Linked DNA regions of Rattus norvegicus. Each later gene encodes a partner of the first gene's protein in a complex. Each region holds a gene or a part of one and is shown in the gene's direction. Other genes may lie near its edges. The genes, in order: Rims2 and Unc13a.

What was found.
Region 2: the proteins of Rims2 (region 1) and Unc13a are in contact, whole or in part, in a crystal structure (PDB 2CJS), measured with the Rattus norvegicus proteins. Residues at the interface, in XP_063118965.1 of Rattus norvegicus: Asp102, Gly103, Cys104, Ser109, Gln112, Val123, Leu125, Ser127, Asn128, Lys129, Val134, Met135, Trp136; in NP_074052.2 of Rattus norvegicus: Tyr23, Ile36, Trp65, Leu69, Ile70, Trp71, Asp72, Thr73, Met74.

Annotation. Positions count from the first base shown.
Region 1 is NC_086025.1:72,603,279-72,613,581, forward strand, and holds the start of Rims2 (regulating synaptic membrane exocytosis protein 2), read left to right. Parts: upstream 1-4,009; 5' UTR 4,010-4,192; coding exon 4,193-4,334; intron 4,335-8,517; exon of another isoform or gene 8,518-9,816; intron 9,817-10,303. UniProt on the Homo sapiens protein: Rab effector involved in exocytosis. May act as scaffold protein. Plays a role in dendrite formation by melanocytes.
Region 2 is NC_086034.1:18,400,259-18,409,941, reverse strand, and holds part of Unc13a (protein unc-13 homolog A), read left to right. Parts: coding exon 1-2; intron 3-562; coding exon 563-662; intron 663-2,570; coding exon 2,571-2,688; intron 2,689-3,475; coding exon 3,476-3,599; intron 3,600-3,836; coding exon 3,837-3,910; intron 3,911-4,235; coding exon 4,236-4,290; intron 4,291-4,910; coding exon 4,911-4,943; intron 4,944-6,071; coding exon 6,072-6,279; intron 6,280-7,002; exon of another isoform or gene 7,003-7,102; coding exon of another isoform or gene 7,103-7,125; intron 7,126-9,026; coding exon 9,027-9,584; intron 9,585-9,683. UniProt on the Homo sapiens protein: Plays a role in vesicle maturation during exocytosis as a target of the diacylglycerol second messenger pathway.

The DNA of each region.
Region 1 (10,303 bases):
CTTCGAAAACCACCACGCCTGAGCTTTAGTTGGAGTGTGCAACAGTACTGGGTTCAGTGCTGTGCCTGTGTCTGTGTGTTACGCGGTGGTGCAAGCTTACTGCTGCTGGCTTCACTTTTAATAATGTGTGCCTCAGTTTCCTCGTAGTGTATGGTGGGTGTTGATAGTATTCCTCGCAGAGTGCTCTTTACCTGTGTAGTGATTTATGGAGACTTTGACGGGGTAAAGATTTATCATTAAGTGATTTATAAATGTTAGCTACTCTCTTACTAGTATGGGCACTGCAAGAGGGTAGTGATTCCTGTCAATTTCTGTTTGTCAATTACTGTATCCTTAGTGATGGCAGCATGTCTGGCATGTGATATGCACTCAACAAATACTTACTGGATGAATGTTTTGTCAGCCTTGTCATCTGTGAAGTAAAAACACTGAGAGTAACTACCTCATGCTGTTCTCTTAAGTTGGTAGTGTATCTGAAGAACATAAATTGAGCTGTCACCATCATATATTACTATGCTCAAAGGGACATAGCTAAGATTGGTGTATCCAAATATTTGTCCCTCCTCTGAAGCCCCAGTCTAACTTCTTTTCCTGGCATCTGACTTTGATCTTTAAGTATTTTCCTCCATTCATGCCACAGGTCAAATCTTATCACCATGTTTTAGCTTAGTTAGTAGTTTTTCTTACTTCCATGGGCAGATTCAATGTCAAATGCCATTATAAATCTTACTGCATAAATAAGGAAACTGTTGACCTCTTCATCTCTCTTAGTTTTTTTCCTCTTATCTTATTTAAATATATTTTTACCTCTTTAATTTTCTAAAGTTCTGGATGGGCCAGTTGCTAAAGTGTAACATTTGTTCTTCACTTTCAAAATCTGCCAAGTGAAAACTAAAAGTACCTTTGAAACATGAACTTTTCAAGGTGTACACCTAATTTGTACCATAGTGACATAATGTTAAGAATGAGAAAAAAAGATTGCTTATTTCAGACCTTATGGTTAGGCCATATGGATTGTTATGTTTTATAAGGAAAACATGTATTTAACATAGTCATGTAGATAAAATAAGCAGTCTGACTTTAAGGTTGGGTTGTCAGCATTTATTTTCATGAATAAATGTACAGTATAATTATAATGGAGGTTGTCAGCTTTGTTCCCTGTCTTTCTGTCCCCTTAGTTTTATTACATGAACACACAAAGCATCTGTGGCATGGTATACAGGGACTAACCTAGAGCCAGTCTGTGTGGGCACAGACCTGCCCTGCCATAGAGTGGATGTACTTAACACTGTGGAGTTTCTTTCAGCACATCTGCCAGGAAACACTCGGTCAGGATTGATGTAATAATTGATATATTAGAGTGAGGTGGTTTTATAAACTGTAAAATATTTATTTGTATTTATCAAATGGCATACTATACTAGTATATGCAAAACATATCTGTTTATCTTTCCTTCAGAATGATGATTTCCATGTTTTCTGGTAGAGTTTTTCAGGATTTTATTTTTGGAAGGCAATCAATTACATCGTGACTCTTAATCTTTAATGTTTGGATGAATAAGAGAATTAAAAATAAAGTGGGATCCTGGGTTATAATATTCTAGACATATATTTCTTTCTGTGTAATGAAATATAGTGACTCAACATATAAGAAGTAAATCCAAAAATATGTACAGTGCGTAGTTATACATAGTAAACTGCATATGCATGTACTAACCATGCAGCTACACATGCTAAACACATATTCATGTACTATGTGTACTACTCATATCTTAGATTTGGACAGTTTCCAGTTTTTGCTGGCAGTTTTTTTCTATAGTTTTAAGTTGATTGAGGTGACAGTAGATATGTCTAAAAAGAATAGGGAATAATGCTTCAACTTGTTAAAAATGTATCAACCACCCACATATGTTGGCACACCGCTATTTCCTGTACTCAGGAGACCAAGCAGCAAGATGGTAAGTTTGAGGCCACTCTGGGCTGCATAGTGAGTCCCATCTCAAAAACAAAATGCAAATAGTGCTAAATATACATCTTTATGTGAAGCTAGAAATATTTTTGAAAACTAGTGAACATAGGACTAATGAAGTGGAATTGAAGTTTCCTCAGTAATTACAGATCATTCTTTCAATTGCCAGGTGAGAGTAGAATCGCCTGGTCACATTGTGAGCCACCTCCTTATGTGTCACATTGTGAGCCACCTCCCTATGTGTCAGTTTCCATCTTTAAAATGCTGATCAAGAGCCTAGTGACGTAGAAGTTACGTCATCTAATTTCCAGCACTCACATCAGGTGGCTCACAACCCCAGCTCTAGGGAGACTCTCACATCTCTGGCTCCTGGCTCCGAGAGCACCAACACTCACATGCACACACGTGTACACACACCATAAACATTTTAAAATAAGTAAATTGTTGATCAAGTGCTAGTCAATTGTTTTCAGAACTCATGGCTAGAAGTTCAAAAAACATCAGAGACGTTAAATAAATCCTTTCTGTTTCTGTGAGTTTGTGATATTTTCCTTTATTCCTATAATAAAATTTTTATTTAATAGTAAAAAGCTTCCATTCTGTCAATAAAAGTGAGTTATTTGCAGATTTCTATGGTTTTAATAGTGGGAAAGTGAATACTGAAAGGGAACTGGATTGGAGCTGTGTGAATGTTAATGAGAAAGGATGAATCTCTCTCTCTCTGGAAAACAGGAAACTTGATCTAAATAACAGTACCTTTTGTCGCAATGGTAGGGTTTTGTGTGGAAAGTTTTGGAAGTTTTAGAAAGAAGTGAGAGAACTGTTCTTTGTATGCATTTCTCTCATTCTTTCTGAACTGTCACTTGTGGCACATCCTGTTTTAAGTCCCTTCTCATGTGCTCCCGGCCTGGCTTCAGCTATTCTGTGGTCCACATCAGACAACACCTTCAGGGGCTTCTTTCTACTTGCAAACCTCTTCTCACCTGTCAGCTGGGCACTGTGACCTCGGACCCTTTCTAACTTGTCCCTCATCCAGGCCCCTGGCCTCTATTGCATTACTGTTCCTGTTAATGTCTGCCTTCTAGAGTGTGATTGTAACTTCTCCCCTGTGTGGGGAGTTTTAGCTGCTCAGTTCACTGTTGTATTGTGAGCATCTACAGATACATGGTATTCATTAGGATCTTAGAGAACTGAGCCTGAATAGTGAATCCCCCAGTACTACCATACTTAAAAAACATGTGTACATTCGTGTGTGTGTGTGTGTGTGTGTGTGTGTGTGTGTGAACTTAGGATACTCCCCTGACTCCTAGTAAAACAGCAGAGACAGAGTTTTACTTGCAGAATCGTGTGGTAACTTTGCTTATCGGCTGTTTTTGATATGTCTGTGTTGCTTCCAAATTTATGCTAGGATGTAACACAATGTACATCACTGTAATGTTACACTTGATAGGGTTATTTTTAGCAACAAGAGGCAGGTGATTGCTTTATGTAGAGAAAGAAGGAATTCATTCCCAGAATGAATGCTAACTTTATGGACCTCGTTGTATGTTTTCCCTTGCTGGTGCCTCAGTTGTCTGTTTAAAGAGATCTTCTGTTGACTGTTTACCATTACTTCAAACGAAAGGGTTAATGTAGGTTTTCATACGATCTGGACAAAATCTGGTTATGACTTGAAGACAGTGTCTCTTACCTAAATCCGAGGAGTGTGAACAGCTGCTGAAAAGAAACTACTATGGGAAAGTTTTACCAGGAATTTTGCCCATATATTATCACTCTGAGAGGTCTAACTCATTCCACCCAATTAGTCACAGTGCCCGGAAGGCACTGGCCATGCCAAAGGAGACAGCAGCGGCTACAACCTAGACCCCAGGCCAGAGCCTGAGGTGCGCCCTGGCACCAGCGCTACGGTGCCGCCCCCTCCAGCCTCCGATTGGCGGAGGCTCAGCATCAGCAGCATCTCGGGGCGAGGGAGGACGCCCGGGCTAGCGGCTCCGGCGTCCTGGATCCTCTGCTCCCCTGGGTGACACTTCAGACTTCCACCGTGAACAGCTGCTTCTCTTGACGGCTTTCCTCCTGATCCTTCCCCAGCAAAGCCAAGGTCCCAGCCACGGGCCGGGGAAGCAGGGACCGGAACCCACCCGGCCCCGACCGCAGCGGTCTCCGCTCAACAGCCGCCAAAACGCCTCGTATCTTGTACCGCGGGAAAAGCGGGTCCTCCTCCAAGATGGGCCGGCAGGGCCTGGGGGGCACGGGTGCTGCGGGGCGCTCCATGCAGCGCTCTCAGAGCCGGAGCAGCCTCTCCGCCTCCTTTGAGGCTCTAGCTGGCTATTTTCCTTGTATGAACTCCCTGGAAGAAGATGAAGGAGGTGAGGACCCATGTTCGTTCCCACCCTTCCTGGGCTGAGTGTCTGTTGTAGATCACTTGGGTTCCGTGGTGGGAGAGTTGGTCTCAGGTGAGAACTCCAAGTAGCTTCTGCTGCCCGAACTGTGCCTAAGAGACCCCTAGAGCACCTGGCGGAGAAACACTGTTAGTGGGTTGTTCACGGAGCTCCACAGGCTCTCCTGGGAAATAGTTGTCCTAGTAAGGAGTTAGAATTATGGATCACTTGGAAGTGGAATGAGCATGTAGACTGGGTGGGAGTTAGGTTGAGCCTCCTATGTACCCCCTATCCGTTTGCTTTTGTTTACTTCTTAAGTCCACAGTCTCTTTGTCAGCATAATCTGGAGGACAGAAATGCTGGGAAAGCTGAGGACCGCTGCAGTAAAACTTTATGTGCCCCGGCCTTTGACAGCCACTATCTAGATGCGCTGGACAGGTGGAAGGTGGACGCTAAAGGCGCGTTTACACTGTATTAGCTCGGAACTTTGTTTACCAGCTGCGCAGTGTGATTCTGATTGTCCGTGCTGTTCAACGATGCCTGTGTAAGTGAAGGGAAATACTGGCCCTGTTAAACTTTTCACTGAGAGATTCGCAGGCCTTCATAAAGTTTTGAATACCAGATCCTGTTTTTCCTTGATGAAGAACTCATAAAATTTTGCAACCAACACTGAAAATTTGTAAATTAATGTAAATAATGTAGAAACAGTGTTCTTTGCAAACTGTGTCCATCCTTAGGCCTATACCCAGAGGAGCTTAGTTATCTTGTTAACACTATTTATACAATTAATTAAGATGTGCTTTTCTTTTATTCTGTGACAATGACTTCTCACTAGAAATTTGCCTAGCCTTATTTTAGGAGAAGTTAATTACCTGCTTTAAGAACAGATAGAAATAAATTTTCCCATATTTGCTCTGGTGAGGGAGTGAGTGACAAAGTGGCCACAGGACAATTAATGATATGGTCAGTCTTCAGACTGAATCCCTGTAACTCTCCAAGTTTTCTCTGGCTGTTGTTGCAATGTTAACTTCCTGTAAATAAAGACTCATATAAATACAGATATAACAATAAGATAACTTACTATTTAGACATAACTTTTCATTTTTATATTCTTGTTTGTGTTTTATACATTTACTTTTGACTACTTTCCTATAATAATTTATTAGAAATTCTAGGAAATGTCTAAAAGTCAAACAGTTAAAAGCAATCAAAATGAATAACTGGACCCCCATAATTGTAGCTAGTTTTTAGAATCCCTTACTAGCCAGGCACTGCTTAGGTCCTACAGTGTGTAGCCTTGAGGGCCCATAACTTTATTAGCCCTGTTTCACAAATGAGGATACTGAGGCAAAAAGAAATTCCAAGACTTCCTTAGACAGTTGTCACTGTAGCCAGCACTTGAAGTCTGGAGTCACAATCACTGCTGTGTACTCGAGATGCTTTACTATGCACACTCACCAACCTAGTAGGTAGTGACGCTGCTACAATCGAAGTTAGGCATGCCTGTGAACACATATAGTTAAATAAAATATAGACTGGTGCAGATTTATTTCTAAGCATGTTTAATGCCAAGTCCTCAATATCGAGTTTACTTTATAGAAACTAGTTCCATTCTTAAGTTATTATTAGGATTTAGGGGTTTACAAAATACCATCCTAAAAGCATTTTTTTGAGATAGTAGGAAAAGCTTAAACAAAATGTGATGATTTTTCAAAATTGAAAGTACACTGTGTCTCATACATGCAAATGCGAAAAGGAAGTGTCTGCATATACACATGAGAAATGGGAACAGGTTTCTGTGCCATAATATTGCTTCTTGAGTTGCCAATACAAAATGTTGCACAAGGAAGGTAGCATTTTTAAATGTTCCCTATATGTCTCTCCTTGTAACAAGAAAGCTCTCCACAAATGGATTCTTCTCTGGCTTGGTGTCAACTTAAAGCCAAGAGAAATGGATCTAAACTTCCCCCTGGTTTCCCAGCACTCCTTTCCCCTTTCAGCATCCCCCCCACCCCCCAGAGGTCTGTGAGACTCAGAACCCTGGTCCAGAGCAGGGCTTCTTCGCAGTGTTTTTTCTTTTAAGACACCCGTGCAGAACACATAAAGTTTGTGAAGCTTGGAAGCATTATTATAGTCATAACTGTGAGACCTGGTCCACCTCACAAGAAAGGGAAATCCTTATTTAATGGGTATGGTGGTCTGCTAATCACTGTGATTGACTAAATTATCAGATGCATGTCAAAGCTAGCAATGCCCTTCTCTTACTACTTAGGATTTAAAGAAGGGTCCCCTGAGAGTGTGTAAATGCTGATTTGGGTATCAGTAACATGAGTTTCTAACCATCTCATAAAACAGCATCCTGCACATACTTGAAAACTGTTTCTCCAGACTCCTCCCCTAGTAAAGAATAGAGTTACGATCTAAACCCATAAGGTGGGTCAGAGTTTACACTGTTGACTAAAGTGTTTACACTGTTGACTTCATAACAATTGTATCTCCTTGTAGGAGTCTATGGTCTTGAAAACTAAGCACAATAATAATAATTGCCATTAACTGTGCAGCTTCTCTGTATTCCTTTCTTTTATTTCATGGAAGTTCTTCAGGGGGTCATTTTCGTTGTTTTACTGTAGAGAAAATATACAAGTTAAACCCATTGCTTACAGGTAACGTATCTCAGTGTGACTGACTTGAGTCTGCACTGAAAGGATGTCTCTGTAAGCAGAGTGAGTTAATTCACTATATAGACTGGTCCTTGTTTCATCTTTTCTGCATACTTTGTGAGTTTGTTTTTTCATCCTTTCCCCTGGGTGTATTCCAGAAAGATGGTCTCCCTATCCATGGGGTTATTTTACATAAAACTGATGGCAATCCTACTTTTCCTGTTATTTAACAATTTATAAATTGCATTCACTTATTTAGCATTGATCCCTATTTGAACAAGTATATTTTCACTATGTAATATATTTGGTTCTAACACTGACTCTTCCTGATACAGACCATTAGTATGTATAGGATATTTGAATATTTCAGGTACTTACAAGAATGTGGGACTATTTTAAGGCAACATTTCCTTTTGTAATTATAGAAACAACTCTTCAGCTTTCCACCTATTGAGTCCAAGAAAAAAATGTTTGGGTGGCAAAGTTGCTAATGGTTGAGGGACTCCCAAAGGCCATCTACATGTCCCATGTGGTTCTAAGCTCATGGGTCTCCCAAAGGCCATCTACATGTCCCATGTGGTTCTAAGCTCATGGGTCTTGTTTAGTTACACATATACTATGTGAAAATTTTACTTCCCCAAAAGTTCACCTAGCCACCTCTGATTGAAATATAATTTGGCAACCATACACAATTTACTAACTAAGTAAATTAGCACTCAATTCTTTCTGCATGCCTGCCAGTTGAAAATTAAATTATAAGAAAATCAACAAGGGGCTGGAGTGATACCTCAGTAGTTAAGAGCACTGACTGCTCTCCCAGACGTCATGAGTTCAATTCCCAGCAACCACATGATGGCCCACAACCATCTGTAATGGGATCAGATGCCCTCTTCTGGTGTGTCTGAAGACAGCTACAGTGTACTTACATACAGACAATAAATAAAATCTTAAACAAAAAAAAACAGCAAATGAAAGTAGCTTAAAAACACTAAAAATCTGAGGGAAAATTATCTGCATGTCATCGTGAGGCTGTGAAGGGTTGTTGACGTAAAAGGATCCATTTAGGTAGTCAGAATGGTGCAAGCTTAAAATTCCCAGTCTACATTTGAGGCCACCAGGAGCTATACAGAACCCATCTCAGCAACAAAAGGATTCTGTAGACAAACACACATTTTTAAGAGACCACTCATTTAGTAGGATGTGAATCTTGGTGTGGAGTTACTTAAGTCTTAGAAACCGTGCTATTTGATTGCAGATAGACCTTCACCTTTGTTCTGTTGAGGTAAGATGTTTCCATGAATGTCGGTACAGCATTGCTATGTGCAGAAACAGGTGTAGCTACTCATGCTGACTAACGGAATGGTGCTGTTCTTTACAAACTGAATGCCAGTAAAACTAACTCTCCCTGTACAGTGTTTGGTCATGGTATTAATACATCCTCCACAGCCAACTGGCCAAGAGAGAGCGGTATAGGCCATTGTGGATTTTTTTATAGAGATAATTTTCTCGAATTATGATTTTATATGAAAAATCATTTTATTAAATGAGTACATACACATTTAGGAATGACACAATTTGTATATTAGATTTGTACTTAAGACAAAGTAAAGTAAGATATTTTGGAATTAAAAGCAAATGAACAGCTTCAGCTCAGATTTAACCTAAGAATCAGCATCTTTCATTATCTTAGGTCCATGGTGCACTTACAGCAGTGGTTCTCAACACTTTATTACAGTCCGTCATGTTTTGTGACCCCCAACCATAAAATTATTTTCATTGCTACTTCATGACTGTAATTTTACTACTGTTCATGGATTGTAATATAAATATCTGTATTTTCCAATGGTCTGAGGTGACCTCTGTGAGACTGCTATTTGACCTCCACAACCCACAGCTTGAGAACCACTGCCTTAAAGTAATTGAAAACTTTAATGTGGAAGTCAGATCAGACCCCTGTTTTCCCTCATACTTTACTAGATTCGTTAAATTCTAAGCCAGCAATAGGACCAAGTTTCCCTGTGGAGTTATTCTGTATACAATGGCTTACAGAAGAAGCTGACTAGTAAGGTCTTGTGATGGCCTCCCATCACCACTGAGGCCTACACCCACACATGAAAATGCTCTCTGCTGCGATGCTCTAGGCCATTAGAGCAGTGGAAGAAGATCATTCTGTCTTTGTTCTACCTCAGGTTGTCCGGTTGTTGATAGGAAGGACGGAGATCTACCTACTGCTATATATTTATTTATAAGGTGAAGGATATTTGAGGAAAATGCCAATGTAAAATAATAGTTTCAGTTCTAGCCTTGAAATGTTGCTCTATTTCAAATCTGGAAATGAGGTTTCTTTTCAATGTGAATAATGTTTTCGCAGAGGTTTTTCACCAAATCTATGAACAGAGTCATCTAGGTCCCACATGGATCTAAAGGAAATCAGGAGAACCCTCTTCCTGTCTTGCAGTCACTCCTACTTCACATGGCTGCTTCTGGTTTTCTCTTTCTTTTCTTTTCTTTTTTTCTCTTTTTTCCCCGCTCATTCTTTGTCCTATCTCCCTGAGCACACGTCCAGTAAGCCATAGTAGCCAGTGACTTCCGGGTTCCTGTGTTACAGCTCCACCATTCTGCACATTGTCTTTCGCGATCCCAGACCCGATATTCTAGGGAGGGATTTAAAGGCCAGCTTAGTCCTGTCTGGTGATGTCTGAGGCCAGGCTTTGTCTGTGGGTTTAGCTCCCACTAGGAATGTGCTTCTGTGGACGGTGAGAAGGGCATCGTTATGTCTTCTCTGACATCCCCCAAATAGCTGCTCCTGCCTAGATAAGAAAATCTTGATTTAGATTTTATTTCATGAAACTAAAACACAAGGAAAATTATTTTAGCTATTTAAAATGAAGAGATCAAATGGTGACAGCTGTTCCCTTAGGGCGTTTGTAGATCAGTAGCCCTATAGATAACATAGATCATTAAGGCAGAAGAGGACCAGGAAAGGACTGAAAAGCTAAAAGAAAGTCTACCAGGGAAGAGAGGCGAGCAGTCATTCTGAGCAGTGCCAGGTTGGCACATTGACTTGTTTTTTGTCCCCAACAAATCATGAACTTGGTTATTCCCATAAAGTCCTTAAACTTTAAAATATTGGCAGCAAAATTTTTAAATTCTCAACATTATCTGAAGCAAACAAACACATTTATTGGCCAAATGTGACCCAGAGAACACAAAGTTTTTAACCTCTGCCAAGAAAATCTGCTCCCTTCCTGGCATTTCTAGTTCTGTTTTTTCTCATTCTCACTGGTGCCTTGGCTA
Region 2 (9,683 bases), on another chromosome or scaffold:
AGGTAAGTATCCTGTCCTAACTGTCCTGTCCTGTCCCTGTCAACTGTTGTCCTGTCTGTTCTTGTCTGGTCTCCTTGGCCTGAGGAAGGGCTTTGGCAGCTGCTGCCAGGCAGAGGGCAGGTTCACCTTAGGAGTGAGCTGCCCCCCCCCAAACCAGGCCAGAGGTCATCCTGGGGAGAAACCCAGGGGCAGGAGCGCCTGAGACCCAAGGGGAATCCGAGGCTTGCACGTGCCCATGCCAAACTCCAGCCCTAGCCCCAACTGTCTGTATATTTTAAGACAGGGTCTCCCTAAGCTGGCTAGGCTAGCTTGTAACTCATTCTGTAGCTGAGGCTGGCCTTAAGCTCACCATCCTCCTATGTGACCTGTCAGTCCCTCCTGTCGGTCTTCCCAGATGAAAACCAAACCCTTTAGACTTGGTCTCCATTTCCCCGTGTAAATGGAAGAATGGATAATAACTGGTGGTTCTGGGACCCGGGTGTGCTGGTCCATCCTCCGGGTTGAGGTGAGCATACGGACCCAGGAGGGGACAGCCGACCATTGTCCCGCTCTCCCGCTGCAGAGAAGTTCAACACATACGTGACGCTGAAGGTGCAGAACGTGAAGAGCACTACCATAGCTGTACGCGGCAGCCAGCCCAGCTGGGAGCAGGACTTCATGTTGTGAGTGTGCAGCCCCGCCCTCCCCAGCAAAGCCATCGCGACCACGCCCACCACAGACCCTACAAGGTCCGCCCACTAAGGGCCACGTCAGCCAGAAGCCCCGCCCACAAAGCTCCCCGTACTGAAAAGTTTGGTCCACTACTGCCCCGCCCACGCAAAGCCCCTGTAAAACCCGAAAACCCCGCCCACACAAACACAGCCCGGTAAGCATCCCCCCCACCAGAAAACCCCGCCCGTGACCACGCCCACTGGAGGTTCCGAGTGCTTTCTTCAGGCTATCCCACACTTGACCCACCACAAACCTCACCCACAATAATCCTGCTCCGTAGACCCCATCCACCATAGGCCATTTCAGACAGGACCCACGGCTTTGCCCGCCACAATCATTGTCCCCGTCCCCTACCCCTGGCTCCTTCCTCACCCCGTAGACCACACTTCTCCATAGGTCACACAGTACGTGCCCACCCAGCCCTGCTCAAACAAGCCCCACCTCAACAGGCCCCGCCCCTGGCCTCACCTAAGATCCTACCTACTCCCAAATAGGCTTCCTTCCTTGCCAAGCTGGCTCCTCCCACAACCCCCACACCGCTCGCCTAGCCCCCTCCCCTGTCTCCCCAGTGGCCACAGGACAAGCCCAGGCCCTACCCTTGCCTCCAGGCCATTCCTGCTTGAAGCCAAGCTCCGCGCGCTCACCTCACTACTCCACTCCCACCCGAGAAAGCCTGTCCTCAGCCAAACCAGGCCCCGCCTCCCGTGCCCACACTCCACAGCCACCACACTTGGCCCCTCTACCCATCCCAAGGCCTGCTCCTCCACCCTCCTCTTTATCCCCTATAGTGTGCTCCTCTCCAGGCAGAGGAAAAGATTATAAACGCTGTAAGCCACCTCAGTGTCATCCAGCAGCTCCCTCAGTTCTGTCCTCTCAGCCTCTCACCGCCCCCCTCCAGCTGGCCGCCCCCTCCAGGAAGTCTTTCCTGAGCCGCTGCTAAGCTGCTACCTCCTGGCTTCTTTTCTGCACACTTCACCGCGGAGGGGTTCATCACTCCTGCCTTGTTCAGCCCAAGGAGGGTGGGAGCCCACGGTGACCTCCGAGGGTACAGGTCACAGGAGTCAATCCGGTTGGGGGTGCACAAGAAATGCTAGTCGCTGAATACCTGTACCCTCCATCAATCCCCAGCCAGGCAGCCACACCGTCCACGTTTACAAAATGGTCTCTCTGTTAGGCTCTCTTATTTATTTCGAAGACAGGGTCTCAAGTTGCCCAGGCTGGCCTCACTGTATTACCAAAGACAACCTGAAATCTGATCCTTCTACCTCAGTCTCCCGAGTGCTGATATCGAAGGTGTGTGCCAACACACCTGTTCCTTGTCGCATCTGTCCTGATGTCCAGCCACCTGGGCCACACCCTATTTTATGATTTTTTTCATTCTTTTAAATCAACTGTGCTCAGTACCCTGAGGGGATTGCTATGGTGAGTCCCATTTAATAGATGAGGAAAAGGAAGCCCAGAGAAGTCACACGTTACAGGAGTGAACCCTGAGTTATACCCCAAGAGGAGAATGGTCGGGAACTGTCAGGGAGGTGCGTGTTCCTTGCCTGCCCAGCCTTGTTGGGGCCTCAGGACCCCTGAAGGGTCGGTAAGATGGAGGGGAGGGTGAGATGGTAACTTCTGTTCCCAGTCCTTTTCTCCCAGATGCAACTCTGGCTGCCTGTGATAGTCTGAGCTACATGCTCCCTCCCATGGCCTCAGTTTCCCTTCCAGAGAATGAACCAATGTGTTGCCATTCTTGGCACCGGCTCCTCCAGGCCTGGCTTCCTACTGCAGTGTGCTGTGTGTCTTCAGGCCAGTGCACTGACCTCTCTGAGCCTGTCTTCTTTCCTTCCCATTCCCCTGTGCTGTGCACACAGTGAGATCAACCGCCTGGATCTGGGCCTGACGGTGGAGGTGTGGAACAAGGGTCTCATCTGGGACACAATGGTGGGTACTGTGTGGATCCCACTTCGGACCATCCGTCAGTCCAATGAGGTGAGTGACAGGTGGAGAAGAGAGCCTGGCAGAGGCCCAGGGGCTTGTGGTCTAAAGAAGGTGAGGCCTGCTCACCCCCATCCCCCACCAACATGCTCAGTTGGGGCTACCACCTAGTGATTTAAAGTGGACACCAGAGAATCCCATCAGGGCTGTATTGTCAGTTAAGGGCCTAACCTGCTCTTTCCTGGCCCTGTGGGTCCAGGGGTTTTCCTCAGAAGCCAGGCTGATGCTTTTACTCCTGGGGACTAACAGCACCTAGGGTGGCCCATGCTTTGACAAGGCGCCAGAGCATACTTGTCATTTAATCAGTAAATAACTGAAGGAAGGAAGGGAGGAAACGCAGCAGCAGCCATGAGAGCCAGAGCCAGAAGTAGCATGAAGGGGACCCAGGATGTTCTCAGTGGCCCAGCATGATGGCAGCCCAAGCCCCAAGGGAGTGGTCGATATTCTCCACAGAAGATTGTCATTGTAGGAGTAGTAAAGAAATTGAGGGTCAGATGGACCCCAGTTGTCCACAGTGCTTGTGTTATGGAGCAGTGGGGGGGGGGGCAGCGGCGGTCTCACTCCCTTGGGCAGCTTCCTCAGGGTGGCCAGGAACTGGGGCTACTGTCGGGAGCCACAACTGTAAAGTCTCTCACCTGGGAAGTGGGGTCTAACCTTTGCTGTCAGGTGAGCGGGAGCAGGTAGGGAGGCTACCTCAAGAGAGGCTGGTGTGCAGCCAGTATTTGGACCCTGCCCTTCCCTGGGGCCCTGAGCCCTATCCTTTGCCTTCACTCATGCCCAGGAGGGTCCGGGAGAATGGCTGACACTGGACTCTCAGGCCATCATGGCAGACAGTGAGATCTGTGGGACCAAGGACCCCACCTTCCACCGCATCCTCCTGGACGCACATTTTGAGCTGCCTTTGGGTGAGTCACAGGGTTTGGCCAGACCCAAGGTCACAGTGCCCACTTTGAGGACTGAGCTGGGGAGGCCATGGCCTTCAAAGTCTTCACAATCCCTGCCGGAGCCCCTGGCCTCCTGCCCCCCTCCACCTCCATCCATCCCTGGGGTTCCCCAGGCTGCTCCCCACATCTCTGAACCTGGTCCCAAGGGAGGGAGGCCAGCTCTCCCAAGAGCCCGGGACATGGAGGCTTTGCTTGCAGACATCCCCGAGGAGGAGGCGCGCTACTGGGCCAAGAAGCTGGAGCAGCTGAATGCCATGCGTGACCAAGATGAGGTGAGTCCCCTCGAGGTGAGCTTCCTGATCCAACCTCTCCAGGGACACAGGGAGACGTGAAATGTCCCATCTTCCCTGCCAGCCCAGCCTTTGGCCGCTCTCCCCTCTCCCTTCTGTGCTCAGAGTGTCCCAACACACAGCTCAGACCCATGTGGTGTTCACGGGGTGGGGGGAGGGACCCAGTAAAGGGCTGCTTGGCTACCGCCCGCGCCTCTTTGGTCGCCTTCTGTTTCTCTGTCTGCTCTGTGGCTTCCTAAAGTCGAATGTATTGGGCTTACCAGAGGGAGCCGTGTTCACTGTCCCTGACACACCGTCCCCTTCACAGTACTCCTTTCAGGACCAGCAGGACAAGCCACTGCCGGTGCCCAGCAGCCAGTGCTGTGAGTGCCGCCCGCTCCGCTCCACTCCATCCAGCAGCCCAGTCTGGTGTGCGACTCCTGCTTTGCTGTATCCCAGCAGCTGCCTGGATGGCCTAAGAAAGTGACAGCCAGGGCCAAGCCAGGCATGGAGTCCAGGGCTGAGGGACCCCGTCCCATTCCATCAGCCACCACTGTCCCAGGGACACTGGCTCCTGTGTGACTCAGCCTCACCAGAACTCCTGGGCTCCAGCCATCCTCCTGCCTCGGGTTTCTGAGCAGTAGTGAGCCACTGCAGAGCCAGGCTGCACTGCTCCTGTCAATCACTGAAGTGGCTCTCAGCCCAGCCTGGTCTAGCCTGGTTGGGGGGCCCAAGAGCCTGTGAGATACTGTCTCAGATCCTCAGGCCCTCAGGCTGCCGGAGGGGGAGGCACACCCCCTGTGGGGTTCTGTTTGTTTGTTTGGTGGTTTGTCTTTTGTTTTGTTTTGCTTTTTAAAATTCCTATGCTGGAAATGATAAGGGGACTTGGGAAAGTGCTGCCCTGGGGGGACGGTCAGAAGCCTGCCTGCCTTTTGAGGGGCCCCCCGGGTGGGGGTTGGGGTGAAGAGGGTGGCTGAGGCTCATTGTGCCTGTTCCTTCCTAGGCAACTGGAATTACTTTGGCTGGGGAGAACAGAGTAAGTAACAAGCTCTCAGGGAAGTGGGCATCTTAGGAACCCCAAGGCTCCTCACCCCCACATCCATGTCTCTGTCCCCCTGCTGATCTGGAAGTGGCCCCATGTCACGCAGATGCTCCCTCAGTGGGGCCTGGTCATCAACAGCAGTCAGGGCCATGTCCCAGTTTCCTAAGCCATCTGACCCTTGTCGACCCTAAGGCTAGCCCAACATACACAAGGCCCTCAGTTCTGGTGCCGGCTGTGGAAAGCAGAGAGACTGTTAAAGCCCCAGTCTGGCTGAAGGGGTTGCTGAGTCAAAGGGAAGCTAGTGGAGCCCAAAGCAGATGATTCTCTCAAAACCAAAGTAGTAGGTTGTTGGGTCAAAAACCGCATGTTGGGGCAGGTGGGATGGCTCAGTGGGTAAAGGTTAGCTCATCTGAGTTCCATCTCAGACGCCCACAGGAGAAGCCGATTCCTTCAATATTTCCTCTGGCTTCCATACACATGCTGTTCCACATGTGCCCCCACAACGTATTCATGTAATATTTTTTTTTCGAGGCAGGGTTTTTCTGTGTAGCCCGGGTTGTTCTGGAACTTACTGTGTATAGACTAGTCTGGCCTCAAACACACAGAGATCCACCTGCCTCTAATTCACAAGTGCTGGGATTAAAGGCATGCGCCACCATGTCCGGCACAATATCATAATTTTATAAACAATTGATAGAAAGCACAGAACTCCAATCGGGTTGGCTTTTCTGTACTTAGCTTTAGTACACACAGGTGCTGCGGTGAGCGGTGAGCACAGCAAACGGTCCTGATTGACATCTGTTCAGCGGCCGCCAGAGGGCGCCAAAGGGCGTGCTCTGCTAGGAAGTGAGCGCGAGAGGCTCCTGGAGATCCGAGTCTCCTTCACAGCACTGGCCTCATCTCAGACAGTGGATCCTCATCCTCTCAGGTGGCACAGCTGGGTCACCGTCCTCCCAGGCCCCACAGCTGGCACACCGGAAGCTTCCCTTCTGTCCTCCCTCCTGCTAGAGCCTCTGTCAGTGCTGCGGTAGCAGAGGATGAAGACACCCCAGAGGGAGGCCGGTTTAGACCCACTGTGTGCTCTCCCGTCCTCACCCTTCCTCTTCCTCCTCTTCCCTGCAGATGATGATCCCGACAGTGCCGTGGATGACCGGGACAGTGATTATAGGAGTGAGACGAGCAACAGCATCCCACCGCCTTACTACACGACTTCGCAGCCCAATGCTTCGGTGCACCAGTACTCCGTGCGGCCACCCCCTCTGGGGTCCCGGGAGTCCTACAGCGACTCCATGCACAGCTATGAAGAGTTCTCTGAGCCGCGGGCACTCAGGTGGCTGTGGGACTGGGGCGTGGCCGGGAATGCACGGGCCCATCTCACAGAACATTTCTATTTGCATTTTAAAATTACACTTATTTTGGTTTTTTTTTTGGGGGGGTACGTGTTTTATGATGTGTGTTAGGGAATCAGACAACAACTTGTTGGCTTTTCACCGCTGCTTTGTGGGTCCCAGGCTTTGAATTCGGGTCACCAGGCTTGGTGGCAAGCACTTATACCCACTGAGCCCTGTGCTAGTCCTTGGCACTTTCTTGTAGCATCCAGAGCCTTTTCTAGTTATATAGGGAGTTTCAGGCTAGCCTGGGCTACACGAGGCCCTATCTCAAAAAACAAAAACAAAAACAAAAAACAAACAAAACCAAGGCCTAGCTGCCAGCTCCCGTCCTGTGTACAAGCTCCCTTTAAATGTCCTGGCTCCACGTGCTTCCTGCCCTTACCTACCGTGGCAATGACAGGTACCACTCCTGGTTCATGCCATGCTGGGGATGGAAACCAAGGCTTCACATATGCTACCCAGGCCCTGTGCCAACTGAGCGGCAAGTACTCTCACATTCCACTGGTGGTGGCAATCTCTGGGCGGGACAGATGGTGAGACAGGGTACGAGCCCCCTAAGCTTGGCTGCTGGGAGGCTGTGCAGGCCTAAGGAGCAGCGACGGACTCAAGGCAGAGTCTGTGTGCTGAGGCCACCACCCTGATCCCCACGTTGCCTGTTGTAGCCAATGCTGGCTCATGCAGCTGCAAAGAACATGAGTGGACCAGGACCTGCTATGGGGTCAGTTGAGGACAGGGACATCATGGAGGGCGTTCTGGAGCACGATGCTGGGATCTCCCCATCAAAGGTGAAGTAAGGTTTCCATCAAGGGTCAGGGACCCTGGCAGGGAGTCGAGGGGCCAGGGGATTCATTGGAATGGATTCAGACTCAGCCTGTGGAAGCCAGTAGGGAAGAATCTTGGTATAGCCAATTCCTACCCTTAGTGAGCAGGAGCAGTGGACTCCAGCCATGCCCCTCTCTGCCAGCTCAGGCCTTCGGTGCAGTTGAAACCTCACCACTAGGGGGTGTGTGCGCATGGCCCCTGGCTGACATCAGAATGACTGTAGTAACACATCCAACTGACAGTCAAGGTGGTTTGGCTATGGGCAGGCACAGGTTATGTATGGGATAATCTAGGTTGAACGTTAGGAGCTTATAATGGATGGCTGGACGTGGCAGCATGTCAGGGGCTGCAGGGAAAGGGGAGTGGGTGCTCAGGCTGGGATTGTCCAGATGGCTGAAGCTGCACCCGTAAGCGTCTGTGCATCTCAGCTAAGCCAGTGCTTCTCGATGCCAGGACAGCAGCATGTACCCAATAGGGGCTCAATTCGTGCCAAGTAAGTGCCTGGCTCGAGTGCCCCAGGTTCCTGCCGTCTTGAGCAGCAACACAAACACCTGGGCTGCTGAATCCACGATAAGCAAACGTGTGGCTGATAGGTGGGCCTGTGCTCCTGGGGCAGAGAAGGAGGAGTCCCTGGTAGGTGCTCAATCCACTCATTTCGTGGGCTTACAGGCCTGGGTCCTGGTCTCACACCTTTGTTCCTGGTCTATTGAGCAGGAGTGAGCACACAGTAGGCACTCTGGCTTTGCTGAGCACACCCCTGGGTGATGGTGTGTGTGTGTGTGCGTGTATGTGTGTGTGTATGTGTGTGTGTGTATGGTGTGTATGTGGAGTGTGGGGGGGATGGTGTGTGTGTATGGTGTATATGTGGAGTGTGGGGGGAATGGTGTGTGGGGGATGGTGTGGGGGGGATGGTGTGTGTGTGTGGGATGGTGTGTGTGTTGAGGGATGGTGTGTGGGGGTGGTGTGTGTGGGGGGATGGTGTGTGTGGGATGGTGTGTGTGTGTGTGGGATGGTGTGTGTGTGTGAGATGGTGTGTGTGTGTGGGATGGTGTGGGGGTGTGTGGGGGGGGATGGTGTGTGTGGGATGGTGTGTGTGTGGGGGATGGTGTGTGTGTAGGGAATGGTGTGTGTGTGTGGGATGGTGTGTATGGGGGTGGTGTGTGGGATGGTGTGTGTGTGGGGGGGAAGGTGTGTGTGTGGGATGGTGTGTGTGTGGGATGGTGTGTATGGGGGTGGTGTGTGGGATGGTGTGTGTGTGGCGGGGGATGGTGTGTGTGGAATGGTGGGGGGGATGGTGTGGGGAGATCGTGTGTGGGGCATAGTGTTTGTGGGATGGTGTGTGTGTAGGGAATGGTGTGTGTGTGTGTGGGATGGTGTGTATGGGGGTGGTGTGTGGGATGGTGTGTGTGTGTGGGGGATAGTGTGTGTGTAATGGTGGGGGGATGGTGTGGGGAGATCATGTGTGGGGCATAGTGTTTGTGGGATGGTGTGTGTGGGATGGTGTGTGTGTGGGGGGGATGGTGTGTGTGTGTGAGATGGTGTGTGTGTGTGTGTGGGATGGTGTGTGTGTGTGTGGGATGGTGTGTGTGTAGGGAATGGTGTGTGTGTGTGGGATGGTGTGTATGGGGGTGGTGTGTGGGATGGTGTGTGTGGGGGGATGGTGTGTGTGTAATGGTGGGGGGATGGTGTGGGGAGATCGTGTGTGGGGCATAGTGTTTGTGGGATGGTGTGTATGGGATGGTGTGTGTGTAGGGAATGGTGTGTGTGGGGGGGATGATGTGGGGGTGTGTGTGGGGGGGATGGTGGGGGGATGGTGTGTGTGTGTGGGACAGTGGGTAGCCAAGGTCTGACTGTTTCTCTACAGCCCCACAGGCAGCAGCCGCTATGCTTCCAGTGGGGAGCTGAGCCAGGGCAGCTCCCAGCTGAGTGAGGACTTCGACCCGGATGAGCACAGCCTACAGGGCTCAGAGCTGGATGACGAGAGGGACCGAGATTCTTATCACTCCTGCCACAGCTCTGTGAGCTACCACAAGGACTCACCCCGCTGGGACCAGGATGAGGAGGACCTGGAGGACCTGGAGGACCTGGAAGATGAGGAGTTGCCCGAGGAAGAGGAGTTGGAAGAGGAGGAGTTGGAGGAGGAGGAGGAGTTGGAGGAAGAGGAATTGGAGTTGGAGGAGGAGGAGGAGGTGCCTGATGACCTGGCCAGCTATACCCAGCAGGAGGACACCACTGTGGCTGAGCCCAAAGAGTTCAAGCGGATCAGCTTCCCAACAGCTGCACCTCAGAAGGAAGACAAAGTTTCAGCTGTGCCCATTGAGGCCCCCGATGTGTCCAAAGGCATCCCCAAGGCAGCCACACCTGAAGAGAAGGCAGCTGCGGAGTGTGCACAGGAAGCAGAGCCCCCCAAGTCTGAGGAGAGGTATCCGGAGGAACTGAGGTGCAGGGCACTAGTCAGAGAGCTCTGTGGGCCTCTGAGAGCAGCACGTTGTGTGGGCAGAGTTGGAGCGGGAAGCTGGGA